Linked DNA regions of Pelodiscus sinensis. The protein of the gene in region 1 purifies or fractionates together with the protein of each later gene. This does not show direct contact. Links are inferred from orthologs where the notes say so. Each region holds a gene or a part of one and is shown in the gene's direction. Other genes may lie near its edges.

Region 1 (8,160 bases):
TGCTTTTAATGTTGCTTTTCATTGAGGTGAGCGCTTTATGCCGACATGGAGTGAAAGTTTAATTGAACGAGATCGCCGATTCCATATAGCTCGGGACTTTTTTGTTTGTTTTATTGTTTGAAAAGTAACCATTAGGGGAGAGAACTTAAAACCAGAAAAGATCGCGTTCCCCGATGCAATTTCTCCAATCTCAGAGAAGTAAATAAAGGCACATGTTTTAACACACTACTAAGGTAGCACAGTCTTAATCCTATTATATTATTTTTCTCTTGTTTGGATATTTTAAGCCAGCCTTTCCCACTGTTTTAAAGCAAAGCAGACAGCTTAAAGCGGACATCTAATGAAGCAGGCATTTTCCACTGGGAAACTCCTAGTGTTTTCCTTTCTTTTTAGAATACCAGACAAGGGGAAAAAGTGCAATCTGCCCATTGATTAAAGCCTACGTATTTGTCTTTAGGCATATCGGGTTTATCCAAACTTTCGTGTGTGTGTCTCTTTCCCCCCTTTTCTGTGCTTTTGTAAAGTAGCCCCATCCAGCAATGATAAATATCCCTGTTGATCACTTGATTGATTACCTCTCTGAAAGGTCACGCGGGCTTGCAGTAATTTCCTTTTGCCTAAGGCTCCCTTTTCACTTTTACTCCAGCACGACAGCTCCAAGTATACGGGATCTTTATTTTTTTTATTTTAACCCCTAAATCGCTCCCCGAAAACAATGCGTTGGAGAAAATGGCAAGAAAATAAACTCTCCTCGTCTCCATTACACACCCAGCTCTTTCACTCCCCTCCCTCCGCACGGCAATGTATTCTGTACATTAGTGTTTAATAGATACGGAACTTGCAAGTAAACTCATAGTCTCCTGGGTCTGAATTTCACGTTTGTGAGTCTCCCTCCCCTTTTCTCCTGTGGACTGAGAATTCGGATTTAAACAACCAGACAAGCTATTAATTTATCCATGCTTCCCAGGGTCTTGAACCCAATTAATTTCTAATAATTACAGCCCAAGGGGGCTAGAGAGATCCCTCTGCCTCTTTCTAGCCTTGCCACTTCACGGCATCGAGGCCAGCATATAATAATAAAGTGTATATTTTGAAAGTGATCTGCAGAACAGTGAGTTATTGCAATGAATAAAAATTGTTTCCATTTTGGCTAATTGAACCCATGGCTGAAAGCTGAGTTCTGAGACTAAATAAAGAGGACTGTTTCATTTCAACAAGCACTGAAAACCCCTGCATAGCTTTTTGGTCACCCAGCAAGAGGTTTAATTTCTTAACAGCAAAGCAGAAATCAAGCGTTGGGTAAACAGTATTAATAATTGCATTACAATGATTAAATTAATCTTACTGGTAGCTAGGAGAATATAGGTTGAGACTGAATCACACGATGTAAAGTTCACTGCACAAAGACAATAATAGCACAACAAATACCTCGATGAAGAATTCCAACTTGCCTCCAAATAGACGGAGGAGCTTATTCAATTATGTGAGGAAGGGAAAATTTCCTGTTATATGGAATACATTGAAACGTGAGGGTTGCTTTCCCCCACACTCTCAGCGTGTATTAAAATAGATTTCATCCCTCTTTTTTTAAATATTTTTTTCGTGGCTCTGATTCTACTACAAACACATACACTCAACAATTTTACTATCCACTAGGTGCCCATTTTCCAACGTGAAGGGAATTGAGAGCTAGAAACTCTTAAAAACGTGACTAACCGAAATGAAACGGATTTCTAGTGGGTCTACCAGGGAATTCTTTGGGAGGGTGATAAACTTTATGAAAGTTCTGCCTGCTACTGACAGAGAGACCAGTCATCAGAAAAGCTGTTTGATGCAACCGAAATGAAAATCTAGATGTTTGCTGGGTATTCGGGAACACAGAGAGACACCTGTTCGGGGTCTTGTGGTCGCTTGGGACTTTAAACAGGTGAAACTGACAAGCTATGGCGTTTAGCGAGTAAGAGCTGGTGTCTTCCAAGGTCAAGAGAACTAAGTGCTAAAAAGAGGTTATATCTGTCTTCGGTTTAAAATATGTTGAATAAATATATATGTCACAGGAAGATGTATAAATACAGACGCTTACTTTTCTTGCGCAGATGTGCTGCGAGGGGCCAAGAGGTTGTTTAAATAATCGCAGTAAGTCTGCAAAGCAAGTGATAGTTTACTGTTTTGGTTGTGTTCGTGATGTTTTGGATCTCAGAGAAAAGCTAGTGAAATATACTTCACAATGGACAGTTACGTTGGGGGGTGTTGCTAAAAAAAGTTTGTTAACGTTCTTAGACATGCTCGACGAGGTTTCGAATTTGAGTTCGCTTATTCATCTTTATAAGAAACTCTTTTTAAGAATCCGACAGAAAACCATGTCTGATAGAGAAGGAAGGAGGTTTAGTGACAGAGAGCCTAAACGTTTTTTTCTTCTTTTCCAGAATTAATTAGTTTGTTCTCCCTGCCCGGTTCCCCCACCCCTTGTGGGCTGTACTCCCAGCCCAATGCTTTCCATAATAACCTTTTGTTGAGCTGATCAGTTAATCCACCGGGTATCACTTCATATCCTTTCACCTGGGAACCAAAGTATTTCCAATCATTCCTAAATAGAGGTCAGACGAGGAAAATCATTACAGCACACACACTACACCCCCCCCCCTCCATACTCCCCACTAGACACCGACATTGCGGGTAGGTGGGTGAGTCACTGTGGCTCTCCCGGCGGACTAGCCGGTAAGAAATGTTCTGAATGCCCCGCTTCCTAGCGTGCCATACCTCATGGACTGGCAAGGCTGCGGGGCACAGACCCAAGCAGGGTGCGCGTCGGGTGATGTTGCTTTTGAGTTTCTCGGTTACACCACGAGTGGGGGGTGGGTGGGGAAGCAGGGCAATAAACAGGTGACTGCAGAGGGAGGAGGAGAGAAGTACAGAAGTTGAGTCGTTTTATAGCTACTTTTGTTGAAGTTCTGCGGTAGTGCAGCTTGGTGTGCTAAGCTTGCCTTACCAAGAAGAGGCTCCTCTTTCCTTCACCCCACACTCGGCTTTCTCCTACAGAGGGGTCGGGCTTTATTAGTCCTCCCTCTAGATTACTGAATTTCCCCTACACAAAAAGCTGCTTTTTTATCTATAATAATTATGAGGCTCAAGAAATACGCTCTCCAATGGGATTCCAAATATTTGTGCCTCATTTGGAGAGGGGAGGTGAAGTGGGGTAGTGTTTCATATGAGAGATTCCCTTTGCCCATCGTTAATTTCAGTTTGTTTCGTGCGTGTGTGTATCATCCAGGTGTTGGGTGAATACGTTTCTGTGGAATGGACAAAGGCTCGTAGCGTTCCGAAATTTGCTGCCATGATCTAAACAAAGTTCAGTGGTTGTTTCTAAAACAAACACCTCTTCATTAAGGTCATTGTGATCTGCAGGGTTATATCCTGTTGGCTATTGTAAGCTTACGGCAGAGCTGCAGAGAGAGGTGTTATTTCATCCTAAAATGGCCATGATTCTGACAGTGAACACCAGCAGGATTTTTTTTTTTGTAAAGAGAGAGTGATGCTTAAGATTTTATTAAAACCAAAACTTGAGCAGCATGTATGTACTGGCACAGTACCGAGTCTGAAAGATTGTAATTTTCTTTTATGGTGTCTGGCAGGATTTGCAACAGATATTAATGGGAACATAAATAGCGGATAGACTGTATTGAACAAAACTGTTTAATGCAAGGAGGTTGTACCAGAGGAAAATCTATGTAGTTTGGATTGATTCATACCTTGAACAGAGCCACCCCTTACAGGAGTTCCCAGTTTCAGCGTGTCCCCTTGTTGATTGGAAAACCCTGTAATTAAAACAGATTTAAACAATGTGGGTTATTTCTAAAGTGCCTTTTTTACCCAGCGGGTGAAAATTGAACTCAACTGAAGGTGCGAGACGGTGTGTGAGAGTTTGGAAGAGTATATAATTTAATTACATGCCTACATAAAATACACAGTTGAATTACATCTGTGTCTGTGTATATCCACAAATCTATGATGATTGCGACAGGGTAGGAGTAAACGAGTGAAATGTTGCAAAGTATCATTAATATTACATCAAAAGTTAGAAAAAGAGCCATTTATTCTACTCTCAAACTCTGGAACAGGGAGATTTCTTCTGTTATGAATAATCTGCCTCCCCCGCCTCCCACAGAGTAAATGGCAAGTGGCTCAGAACCCATTGCCGAGCAGATCAGGACAGGAAAAAGCTCTAGATGCGCTATCCCGATGCTGGTTTATTAATTAATAATAATAATGGCTAGGAACTGGGTGGAGTTGATGGCGGAATAAAGAAGAATCCAGGCATCTGGCTGTTTGCGACTGGATCTCCCTGGCCAGGTTGTTTTTATTGGAGAAGAAGAGGTGTCCTCGCTCCATTCCTCGGGAGGCCTCCTCCCTCCGCCGATTGCCATCTGACAAGATCCTGAAATCAAAGTGATAGATCGCTCCAAACTTTTTTTGGCGGCGCTGAGATGTTGAAGAGTGGTGGTGGGGGGGAGCAGCCCGTGCGCATGTGCGAAGGTGTCCAAACTGACAATGCTGGAGAGATAGCGAGCCTGGATTGAGAGAAAGAGAGTGTGTGTGAGAGAGAGTGAGAGAGAGAGAGGGGGAGAAAAAGGAGGAAAAGATCCAAGAGGACCCCCCCTACCCCCACCCACCAAAACAGCGGCGCGGGACTGGCAACATGAGATCCAAAGGCAGGGCAAGGAAACTGGCCACAAGTAGGTGCAATATCCCTTTCCATTGGCTTTTCACCCGCGCTCTGCCATGTTGCATGGAATGGCTGATGCGCCGGGATGGGGGCGCAAAGCAACCTGCAACATTCCAGCCCCAGCACCCCTGCTCCTGAGCCCAGCCGGGCGCGCATCCCCGGGAGCGGCGCAGCGGCGGGGACAGCGGGCGCGGGGTCAGGCTTGGGGAGAGGCGGGGTGGAGGGGGGGAGGAGAATTGCAGGCAGCCCCCCAGCAGGCAGATCGCTGGTCTGGAGGGGGTGCTTGTCTAGAGAGAGGGGGAGGCTGCGGGGTCGCTGCGGAGGCGCTGCCCGGCAGCTGGGGCTGGCTGCGGAGGCGCAGGGAGGCGGAGAAGGAGTTGAGGAAAAGTTCAGAGGCGAGCGCTGGAAGTTGAGCGGTGGCTGCTGCCGCCGGGGCTGCGAGGAGGAGCTAGGACCCTAGTGGGCGCTGTCGGCTCTCTGCAAGCGCAGGAGGGGAGGGGTGTCCGGAGAAAGGGGGGGGGGGGGGGAGTTAGGCGGCAGGTCTTACTCCGAGCTACCAGCCGGCAAAGCAGGGGAGTCTAGGCAGGTGGGGGGGAGAGAGGGCGCAAGGGCTCGCTCTCTCCCAGGAGGGCGTCCTAGCTCGTGCTCTGCACTTGTACCTAGCGGAACTTTGCGAAGGAGGGCGGGTCAGGGACCTTCCAGCTCCGACCCCCCCCCCCCACCGTTTTCTCCACACTGAGGTGTGTGGTTGCGACTTGTGAGCCCAGGAAGCGCCCGGGCTCCTTCTCCTCTTGCATTGGTGGTAGGGAGGAGGCGCAGAAAGTCATGATTTTATTTTATTATTATTTCATTATTTTAGTTGAAGGATCAGCTGGGAACTCTGCACTAATGGGGGCCCCCCGCCCCCTTCCTAGGCACCCAGGAAAGGGGAAGCTGTGGGGGGAATTTTCCCGTTTCTGTCCTGGGTGCAGCGTTGCAGCAGCTGTCAAAGGCAGCGCGCCCCGAGTGACAGAGGGCAAGGCTGGTTGAGCAGATTGGGATGCCTGTGGTTTTAGCGTAAGTTAAACTCGCCCTGCGCTGGGCAAAGGTGCAAACAGACTCGCGCCGGATCTCTCTGAAGGCGCGAGGTAGCAGGGCGCTGGGGATCCCGCGCTGCGCAACGAGGCCGCACGGTTTCGTTCTTCAAGTGCTTTCCTGCAACTTTCCACTATGTCTCCTCCGGATCGAGTGTTCTGGTCGGGTTAAAAAAATAACACCGAATAACACCCTTGGTCTCAGCACTAGCCCAGGGCGGTGGTGTTCGGCCGTGACTCCTCCGAAGTGGAGTTAGTTGGGGAGAGGGAGAAGTGATTTGGGCCATCAGTGCAGTCAGTCTGGAATCACACGCTGAAGTTGGTCTGCATGCTATAATTTCAGGCGCTTTACTTACAGTTCATTCAGTTCGGCTGCCCGAGGTCTGTATTGTGTCGGCTTGGGTCTCAGCAATCGACATAAATACGGCTGTGTTACAGGCACTCCATCTTCTCCTTTTTGACAGTGATCATGATATTTTCATTGCAACAGTTGCCAAAAAAAGTAGTCTTCGAGTCTTCTTTTAAATCCAAGGGATGGCTTTTATTTGTGGTTGTGACGAGGTATATAACATAGGCAAGTTCCAGTTGATGCGTGTCTCAATGACAACTTTCTTTTCCATCTGAAATTGTGCCGGAAAACGGCAGATGAAACGTTTCATAACATAATATATAACCAATCGTCGGTTTTATGTCTACTAGTGGGGGAAAATGTGAACAGAGAAAAGGAAAAGCAAAAGATCTACTTTTCTGTGAAACTTAACGACAGCAAAAGTACCTATATTTCATTAGCTGATTTTAAACTGGATCCATCAACACAATTTGGAAACAAATAAGCTTCCAGGACATCATCCCTGCTTTCAGGCTAATTGTGAAATTCTTGTATTACACTCGCTAGCAAATGTGAATATGCATTTCCCTTAACGCTTCTGGACTGCTGCAGCTTTGCAGTGCTTAGATCTGACCATTTTCAAACTTTCTTCTTTGAGTTGCATGTCTTGGCAGTTGCTGCGGCGGCAGAAGCTAGACGCGTTGCATTGTATAGTCTATCGGTTACAATACGCTCATAAAGGAAATCTTACGAAAAAGTTGAGATTTTTGCATGTTGAAACCTCTTTCCTTTCTCCTTCGAATAGCGTGTGAGGTTCCTGGCGTGTGTGTGCGCGCGTTAGTGTGTGTGTGTGTGTGTGTGGAGCGTGGGGGGGGGGGATTATTGGTGACCCCTGTAATTCAATCATTCAACAAGAAAAGTTTTCAGTTTTTGGTTTCGTCCTGTGACCCCTTCTCTTCATTATTTTATTGCGGAGCTGTGGAAAAAAAATTGTGGCTGTAACTTTTGGAAAAGCAACCGATTCATGATACAATTGGAGTTGTCTTATTCCACTTTAACTTCTTTGAGTGTAAAACAAACTAGAGACAACACCCCCACAAAATGTGACTACACCACGAGTCGGGAAAGGTCTGCTCATAATTAAACAAGGGGAATTAGCTGCTTATATTTTCTCTGTATATATTGAAATAGCAAGTTAAGGGTTTTTTTTGCTTACCTAAAAAAATCTCAGAAGAAACAAAAGAAGCCAAGCTGCGAATAGTTAGTGAATATTTTATACCTCCAGCTGTAAAAATAAAGGAAAAAGGGGCAAGATATCTTTTTTAAGGCATATTCAAAATGAAGTCTGAATACAGTGTGCAAATTACAAAGGTCTCGACCAGTCTCAGTGACAGTAGAGATACTGTAATTTTGCAAATTTTTAAAGTTACAGGTTGCACCTGCACGGCGATAGTAATTAACAGTGACCATCACTGGTGATATAAGTGTGTCACACTGTGGCTTTTTTTTTTTTGGTCCGACTGATGAAACTGTAACCCTGAATGAAAATCACTTCTGAAAAGTGACACTTCACAGAACTCAACCCCGTGCACCGAACAAGTAGTGCAGTTTAAACCACTGGTAGCCATTAGCCACCCAGTAGCCTCATAAAGAGACAGAAGGTGGTCAGATTAGGAGAACGCACGTGAAGAAGGGGGCACTTGCTACTCTTTCACTTTATCACCGTTTTTTAAAGCAGGCAATTTAGGGCAGTCGAGGTAGGTCCAGAGACATCTTAACCATCTGAAAGAATGAAATAAGTTGCACGAGTTGCAGCAGGTTTTCCTGCTCCTGTAACTTGCCTCAGTCTCGTACTTAAAAGCCTTGACTGAAAAACAGAGCTGGCAAGTTTATTTGCCTGTTTAAGACTCTGTACGGGGATTTGTTTTTGAAAAGGGAAATGTTTGCCAGTCCCCTGCAGAAAGGCTGTTTATTTGCCATTACTATACTATTACTGCTGGCTTAGTACTTCTTTATTGCATTTGGCACTTTGTAAA
Region 2 (8,370 bases), on another chromosome or scaffold:
CCCCTCCGGGGGGTGCCGGCTCCCACCCGGCCCAGGACAAGGGCTGGCTGGCTTGGGGGGCGGGGAATGGGACAGGGGCCTGTCCCCTCCGGGGGGCGCCAGCTCCCACCTGGCTCAGGGCAAGGGCTGGCTGGCTTGGGGGGCGGGGAATGGGACAGGGGCCTGTCCCCTCCGGGGGGTGCCAGCTCCCACCCGGCCCAGGACAAGGGCTGGCTGGCTTGGGGGGCAGGGAATGGGACAGGGGCCTGTCCCCTCCGGGGGGCGCCAGCTTCCGCCCGGCCCAAGACAAGGGCTGGCTGGCTTGGGGGCAGGGAACGGGGCAGGGCACCTGGCTAATCTTTGTTCCATTTACAGGCACGTCACCCACGTGGGATGGGACCCCACCACCGGCTTTGATGTATGTAGCTCCAGAGACAGCAGAGGGCTGTCCCCGTGGGCCAAGGGATGGGAGGTCCCAGGGCAGGGGGCCAAGGACAGGCTGGGGGGCAAAGCTTTGGCATTAGCAATGTTTGTGCATGGGGGGGAGGGAGTGAAAGGGTGTTCCCTCGTGTTTGTGACTACCGGACTTGATGTGCTGGGTGACTGTGCTTCAATTGATGTGCATGGCTGTTCCCCTGCTGCTCTGCCCCTGAAGTGGCTGCATCTTAGCGTCAGATCAGCTATCCCAAAGCAGCGTTATGTGCAGCTGTTCCCCAACTGCCCCACCCCAGAGGTGGCTGCAACTCAGTGCATGGGGAGTCATCCCCATGGAGCATTAGGGGAGCAAACGTGCAGTTCACTTGAGCCCGGACTGCCTAAGATACTGCCTCCCTGTGCCCCCTCCTTTTCCAAACACATCTTTTTCTCCCCATGCATCTTTGCCTGTCCTTAGGGGCAGATCCCTGGCTCTGAGCCTACCCCCAAGGCACTGGGGGACTGGCAGCATGGCTATTCTTGGCAGCGGCCAGGTTAGAGCATGCCCTCGGGACAAGGGCAAGGCGCAGCCAGCTGGGGGCGCTGCTGCAGGTAGCAGGATCCGGCTGGCGCAAGGCCTGGTCCTAGCCCCCCGATGTTTTTGGACTCCAGATGGGATGGGTTCCGTGGGGCTCAGTTGGGAATTAACAGAAGGCCTGTGGAGTGTCACAGCTTGGGGCTGTGGATGGCCCCGTGTTTTGTCGGCCCTCGGAGGCAGCGGCCAATAATCTGGGCACGAGACTTCGCAAGGGGATGGCCCGTCTGATGCTGAGATGCAGCCACCACTGGGGTAGGCTGGGTGGCAACACTCCTATATAACACCACCTGGGGCAGGCTCACCTGGTGCTGAAATGCAACCACCTCTTGGCTGGGACAACTGGGATCAGCCCCATATAAAACCACATGGGGAAGGCTCCCCTGGCGCTGAGATGCAGCCATCTCTGGGGCAGGGCAGCTGGGAACAGCTGCATATAACACACCATGGGGACGGCTTGCTTGGCACGGAGATGAAGCCAGCTCTGGGGTGGGACAGCTGCCATAACTTTCCAGTTGGATCCTTTCAGGAACAGCCCCAGCTGCCTGCTGCATTTCGGAGGTCAGGATTTTAGGGGGTCAGAATGAGGGGGTGCCTGGGGCCTAGTGCTGGCTACAGGGCGGGGCTAATTTAAGGCATGATCCATCAATCGCCTGTCTCTGGATTTCCTCTCCATGTGTCTCTCCTAGGTGAATAACCTGGACCCCGACCTGAAGACGCTCTTCTCCCAGGCTGGGATCAGCGAGGCGCAGCTGACCGACGCAGAGACCTCCAAGATCATCTACGATTTCATCGAGGGCCAAGGCGGGCTGGAGGCTGTGAAGGAGGAGCTTCGACGCCAGGGTGAGCCCTCCCTTTGGGACATGAAATGCGGCCGCTTTTCCCCAGCTCCTCTTCCCCAGAGGGGGCTGCCTCTCGGGGTTGGCGTTATATGCAGCCTTTCTCCCTCTGCCCTGCCCCAGCGGTGGCTGCATCTCAGTCTCCCCATGTGGCGCTTTGGAATCCTCAGGGGATTTGGTGTGGGGCGAAGGGCCTCGTTTTAATTGCAGCTATTTCTCCCCACAGGTCCGGCACCTCCTCCGCCTCCCCCGACTCGGTCTGGGCCCCTTCCCCCCCCACCCCCAGCCTCAGGAAGGGGCAGGTCTGGCCCATTGCCCCCCATTCCAGGTGCCCCCCCGCCCCCCTCATCTGCACCAAACAGGGGGGCTGTTCCCTCCCAGCCCCCCAGGGGACAACTGCCTCCCCCTCGTGGGCCCCCTCCCCCTTCTTCCCGGTCTGGTCCCCCACCTCCTCCGCCCCCTGCTGGGGCAGCTCCTCCACCCCCACCTCCCCCGCCACCCCCTCCACCTCCTGTCTCTTCAGGACCTTGTCCTCCTCCCCCACCTCCCTCAGGGGGGCTCAGCTCCCCCGGGGTTCAGGCCCCTACTGCCCCAAAGGGACGTGGGGCCCTGCTGGACCAGATCCGCCAAGGCATCCAGCTCAACAAGGTGAGTGGGGTGGGCTGTGGGGCAGACGGGGGGCAGGATGAGGGAAGGGAAGAGGGGAGATGAGTTAGGTGATGGGGGGCAGGGATGGAAAAAGTGAGGGGTGGGGGGATGGCTGGGAGTGGGGAAGGAGGCGATGGGGGGCTAAGGGAGTAGAGGACGGGGTGGGATATGGACTGAGGGGAGCAGGGTGGGGAGGGGGCGGCTGGCTGTGTGGGGCGATGAGGGGGGAGTTAGAGGAGGCTTTGGGTGAGGGTGGGGGAAGTGGCAGGGGGTCGGCAGTGCCGGGGTGGCGGGGTCAGGGGATGGGTGCTGCGGGCCCTGACCCCCCTGCCTTGCAGACCCCCGAGATGCTGGACTCCCCGCCGCCCGCGCAGAGCTCCGAGGGCCTGGTGGGGGCGCTCATGCACGTCATGCAGAAACGGAGCAAAGTGATCCACTCCTCGGGTGAGTCGCCCCAACCTGCCACGGGGGCCCCCTCCTCCCCCCGCCCCGCCCCCTGCACCCGCTCACCCTCCTCTTCCTCCCGCAGACGAAGGCGAGGACAACGGAGGGGACGAGGATGAGGATGATGAATGGGACGACTGAGCCCCCGCTGCAGGAACCCCCCCCTTTTCTGCACCCCCTCCCACAGACCAATGCCGCCCCCTCGCCTCTGGGATTCCCGTGCCCGCCTGGCCCCTTTTTTAATAAAGACAGCTCTCGCCTGATGTGGGCTGCCCCGTCTTTTACCCAGAATCCCCCCAGCCTCCCCCTTCCACGCCTGTCACCCCTTCAAACCCAGTTTCCACTGGCCTCTTTGGTGTCAGAAACAACCCAACCCATCACCTTCCCGCTTGGCTCCATGATTCCATCTCAACCCAATCCTAAAAAACAAGCCAAGCTGGAACCGAGCCACCGATATGTGGGGCTCAGGCGGCCGCCAGGGGTCAACAGTGCAGGCTTCAGGGGGGATTGAAACCCGCTGGTTTGGGTCAGTGTCCGAGGGATAGGACTGGAAACAAGAGACTTTGATCAGGAGGAGCGGTGACGCTTCCAACAGCCCGTTGAAAGGGTCTGATTGCCGAGCGACGGTAGCGAGGTGGAAGGAAGAATCCTTAGCCGCCTCCACACCCCCGTTACCAAGCGGGCTTAGGCCGGCTTGGTAACGGGGGTGAATTTTCCACGCCACTGAGGGCCATAAAAAAACATAATCTCCATTTCGACTGTCACCCAGAGCAGCTGCAAAGCTAGCGCCTAGTTTTATTGCTTGTGAATTATGGCTTGTTCATCTCAAGGCTTGGCCGCCATGGAGTTTTTAATTTGGTTTCGGATCTCGACTTTTACTTTTCCGTCAGTTTGACGGCTCGTCTCGCGGTTAGTTCGAAGGCGGGTGGGGAGGGGGAGTCAGGCAATAATGATTTCCTAGAGGGTTTGAGATGGAAAAGTGAAAGCTTAAAAACCCTTCACCCAAATGCTGAGTCAATAGCCTCAGCTCACATTCAACCATGTTCTCAAGCAGCCAGGTTTGTTTTTTCTTTGCCTAGCTCTCTGTTTTGACAGTTATTAATAGAAGCGCCTTTCCCCCTGGGGTTGTGTGTGTGGGTGAAATGGACATTGACTGGGATTTACCCATCAAAAGCCTATGAATTTTGATTTGTTTAATAGGGGTTTATTGTCCCTGTTGCTTTAACCTTTAAGGGTCGTCTTGCTGCAGGCTCCCTCTGCAGACTGAGCCAGACAAAACGATTGTTGCTCCTTTGATTTTTATTAAACACAGTTACCATCAATTGTTTCTCCAGTTGCTTTCATGGCAGCAATCCCAAAGCACGGGGCATTCGCTTGGCTGGCGGAGGGATGCAGCCGCTTCTGGGGTGGGGCACAGAACTGGCGAACGAGGCAGGGGGGGGCCTTTCCTGTCTAGTTTTACCAGGCCTTGCGCCCCACCCTGCAAAACCACCCAACCAGGTTTTTCCTTTCCCATGACTGGGCAACAGCTCAGAGTGCCAGCCCGGGAGCCAAGCACTTGGAACCCCCCCCCCCCCCCCCCGCGCACCTCCGGCTCCCAAGGTGGCTTTTGTCATTGGTGTTGGAGTTTCTCACCCTTTCCCCAGCCTTGTCATTGGCACCTTGCTGGTGATGCCTGGGGACCCAGCATTGGCGTTGGCGCATGGGTGACATCAACCTTCCCTCCCAGCACTGATATTGGCGCATGGGTTATGCCAGCTTCCCCACCACCACGTTGGTGCCTGGGTAACACCAGCCTCCCCCCCCCAGCATAGACGTTGGCGCATGGGTGACACCAACCGCCCCCCCCCAGCATTGACGTTGGCGCATGGGTGACACCAACCGCCCCCCCCCAGCATTGACGTCGGCGCATGGGTGACACCAGCCCCCCCAATTGACGTTGGCGCATGGGTGACACCAGCCCCCATCCCCCACTAGTGCCAGGGACCCTCATTGGCTGAGGAGAATTGCATTGTGGGGGAGAGGGGACATGGTGTTTAGGGCTGGGGAGACACTTCTAGGCTAGGGTGAGGACCTTTCTCTCCCTTCCCCACCCTGCGTGGCGTCGGGCTGGCCCCGCATGGCGGCCTGTGACTCGCACTGGGAGAAAACGGGTTAATTTGGTGCCTTTGGGGCCATTTCCGCGAGTCGTGAGGGTGCACGGCGGCGCGGGGCACTGTGGGAGATGCAAATGAGGCCCGCTGCCGGGGCCTCCGGCGGCCATTGGCTGGCGGGCACGTCAGTCAGGTCGGCCACCCAATAAGAACGCCCGCGGTGGAGGGGGCGGGGCACGTCGCTCTCCCCTCCCCCCCGCGCTTCGGCCACGCCCCCTGGGAGGAAAAGTTTCGGGCGGCCCCAGTGGCTGCAGGGGGAAAAAAAAAAGATGGCGGAAAATTTAAAAGGTGAGCGAGGGAAGCCGGCGCGCGCGGAGCGTGGCGCGAGGCCGAGCAGGGCGCGCGGCGGGAGGGGGCGGCGCAGGGAGGGGGGCTGCTACGAGTTGCGGCGCGAGAGTCTCTCCCCACCCCCCCCCCGCCTTCTTTCCCCGCGCGCGAGGCGGCCCGCGGCGACCGTTAAAGGGGGGGGGGCAGGGGCGAGTCTGAGCGCGCGCGCGACTGGAACGGGCGCGGGGCTGCTGCTCGCGCGCAGGGCGGGAAACCAGGCAGCCTGTAGTGGGCGGGGGGAGGGGCGCACGTGACCCGCAGGGGCCCCGAGGGGCCCCCTCACTTCCTGGCACAGGGCACCCCTGCCTGGCAGGCTGGCATTGCCCCCCCATGTGCTCCAGCCCCCCGTACGCTGCTGCCCCCCCCCGACCTGGCAACCCCCCTCCCGAACCTGGCAACCCCCCCGTACGCTACCCCCCCCGAACCTGGCAACCCCCCCCGTACGCTCCCGCCCCCCCCGAACCTGGCAACCCCCCCGTACGCTACCCCCCCCGAACCTGGCAACCCCCCCGTACGCTCCCGCCCCCCCCGAACCTGGCAACCCCCCCCGTACGCTCCCACCCCCCCGAACCTGGCAACCCCCCCCATACGCTCCCACACCCCCCTGAACCTGGCAACCCCCCCCGTACGCTCCCGACCTGTCGCATCCCCCCCGTATGCTCCCGCCCACCCCAACCTGCCCCCCCCCCCCCCGGTACACTCACACTAACCCTGACACGGTGCGACCCCTCTGGGCACACACCTGCCCCGACATGGGTTGATGCCCCGTGTGCTTGTGCCAGCCCCCTGGTTTGGGGTGACCTGCCGTGGACGCTCACGCCCTGGCACAAGGCAATCCATCCCCAGACACTCAGACTGACTTTTCCGGACGGTCACACCAGCCCCAGGATGGTGTGAGCCCCTGGACACCCACAGACCTTTGGATACGGGGTGGCCACCTCCTGGATGCTCAGACCAGCCGCCCGGCCACACCTTGATGTGGGTGAACCCTTGACCCCCAGCAGATGCTCACACCAGTACTCACTAGGCACGGCGACCTCTCCCTGGGCGCTCATGCTAACCACGTGCTCTGCATGGGTGAGCCGCTCCCCCTGCCCCGGCCCCTCACACCCAACCTGCAGCTCCCTACAACCCCAGCCCTGGGCTCCCTCCCTGCCAGGACAGTACCAGCCCCCTAGTCGTCCCTTGTGCCCGCAGGCTGTGTCGTATACTGCAAGTCCTCGTGGTCGCAGCTGCAGGACCTGTGCCGGCTGGAGAGGGTTTGCTGCCCCTCGCTGGGCATCACGCGCAGGAACCTCAGCCAGTTCGAGGTGGAGTTCCTGTGCGACTACAAGAGAGTGCGGGTGAGTCCGTCTGCCAGCCCGCAACCCCGATCCCTTCCAGGATCCCCACCCCTGCAGCAGGGAAAGCCCCACACTCCTGCAGCCCGACCCCCTGCTTCCAATTCCCCTCCGCAGCCTCACTCTTTCTTGCCTCTGATTCTTTCGCCCCACAGCCCAGATCTCCCGACTCCAATTCCCCTCCGCAGCTTGGATTCCCCCGAGAGCCCAGAAACCCCCACATCCAATTCCCACTGCAGCCGGCCTCCAATTCCTCTCCCCTGACTGGATTCCTCCCACCTCCAATTGTCTTGCCCCCACCCCGGCAGCCTGGATTCCCCCTATCTCTAATTCCTCACCCCCCCCGCCCTTCGGGCAGCCCAGATTCCCTGTTCCTCCCCCACCCTCTCGCCGGCAGCCCGGATTCCCCCTACCTCCAATCCCCCTGTCTCCAGTTTCCACCCCCAGCAGCCTGGATTTCCCTGTCTCTAATTCCTGCCCTTAAACCCAGATCCCCAGAAACCTCTGTGTTCAGTTCCCCCTCCCATACTTTCCTTCCCCTTTCAGCCTGTATCCTCCAGCCTCCAGTTTCCCCACCCTATAGCCCGGATCACTCCCAGAGTTTAGAAACCCCTGCTTGCAATCTCCCCCACAGCCCAGCTCTTCTAGCCTTGAGTTCCCCGTCATAGTCCAGATCCCCTTCCCCTGAGCCGCCAGTTCTTACCCCCCACCCTTGGTAGGATCCTCCTCTACTCCTGATTTCTCATGCAGCACAATCTCCTTCCCTTGGGCCCCCCCCCCCCATCCTGCTCCCCTCTGCCTACCAGTGTTCTGTCTCTGATCTCCTCCTCCAGCACCCTTCTCATTCTCACCCCCTCTGCCTGGCACCCCCAAACACATGGCGCTGCCTGGGACTGATTCTGCCTGCACCTTCCTCTCTCTACCTCCGCTGGGTGGGCTCTGAGACAGGCCTGGTGCATAAACAGCCGGGTGCTGGAGTGTGTCTGGTAAAGACCCTGTGGAAGCCATCTAAAATTCCTAGCTTCTCTCTGGGGGGTGTCCAGTGGTTAGAACAGTGTGTGTGCACGGGGGGATGGCCAGGAGCCAGGACTCCTGGATTCTCTCCCTGGCTCTGGGAGGGGAGCCGGAAGCTGGGAGCCCGGGTTCCACCCCGAGAGAGGGCCTGGCTGATGGGGGCTCTGCTGGCAGGAGGAGGAGTTCTACCTGGTGAAGTGGCGTGGTTACCCAGAGTCCGAGAACACCTGGGAGCCGCGGAAGAACCTGCACTGCATGGGCCTGCTGAAGCAGTTCCACAAGGACCTGGAGCAGGCCTGGATCCGGCGGGACGGCAAGCCCAAGAAGAATGCCCGTTGGCTGGACCAGGGCGTGGCCAACTACGTGGTGCAGAAGGCCAAGCAGCGGCGGGCCCTGCGGCACTGGGAGCGCCAACTGAACGCCAAGCGCAACCACAAGGGGCACATCGTGGTGGAAAACGAGGTGGATCTGGACGGGCCACCCCGGGACTTCATCTACATCAACGAGTACAAGGTGGGCGAGGGCATCTCCCTCACCCAGGTGGCGGTGGGCTGCGAGTGTCGCAACTGTCTGGCCGAGGCCGCCGCCGGCTGTTGCTGCCCCGGTGCCTCCCACCA

The links.
Region 2: the proteins of MECOM (region 1) and SUV39H1 purify together in Homo sapiens (affinity purification with western blotting; 3 studies listed by BioGRID). This does not show direct contact. The link is inferred for Pelodiscus sinensis from reciprocal best matches to the Homo sapiens genes MECOM and SUV39H1.

The regions. Positions count from the first base shown.
Region 1 is NC_134720.1:38,257,078-38,265,237, reverse strand, and holds the start of MECOM (histone-lysine N-methyltransferase MECOM), read left to right. Parts: upstream 1-4,562; 5' UTR 4,563-4,696; coding exon 4,697-4,733; intron 4,734-6,991; exon of another isoform or gene 6,992-7,100; intron 7,101-7,340; exon of another isoform or gene 7,341-7,409; intron 7,410-8,160.
Region 2 is NW_027466045.1:208,216-216,585, forward strand, and holds the start of SUV39H1 (histone-lysine N-methyltransferase SUV39H1), read left to right. Parts: upstream 1-5,210; 5' UTR 5,211-5,341; coding exon 5,342-5,360; intron 5,361-6,596; coding exon 6,597-6,742; intron 6,743-7,927; coding exon 7,928-8,370. Other genes in the region: actin nucleation-promoting factor WAS, read left to right, coding at 355-397, 1,678-1,831, 2,054-2,475, 2,814-2,919, 3,005-3,060. UniProt on the Homo sapiens protein: Histone methyltransferase that specifically trimethylates 'Lys-9' of histone H3 using monomethylated H3 'Lys-9' as substrate. Also weakly methylates histone H1 (in vitro).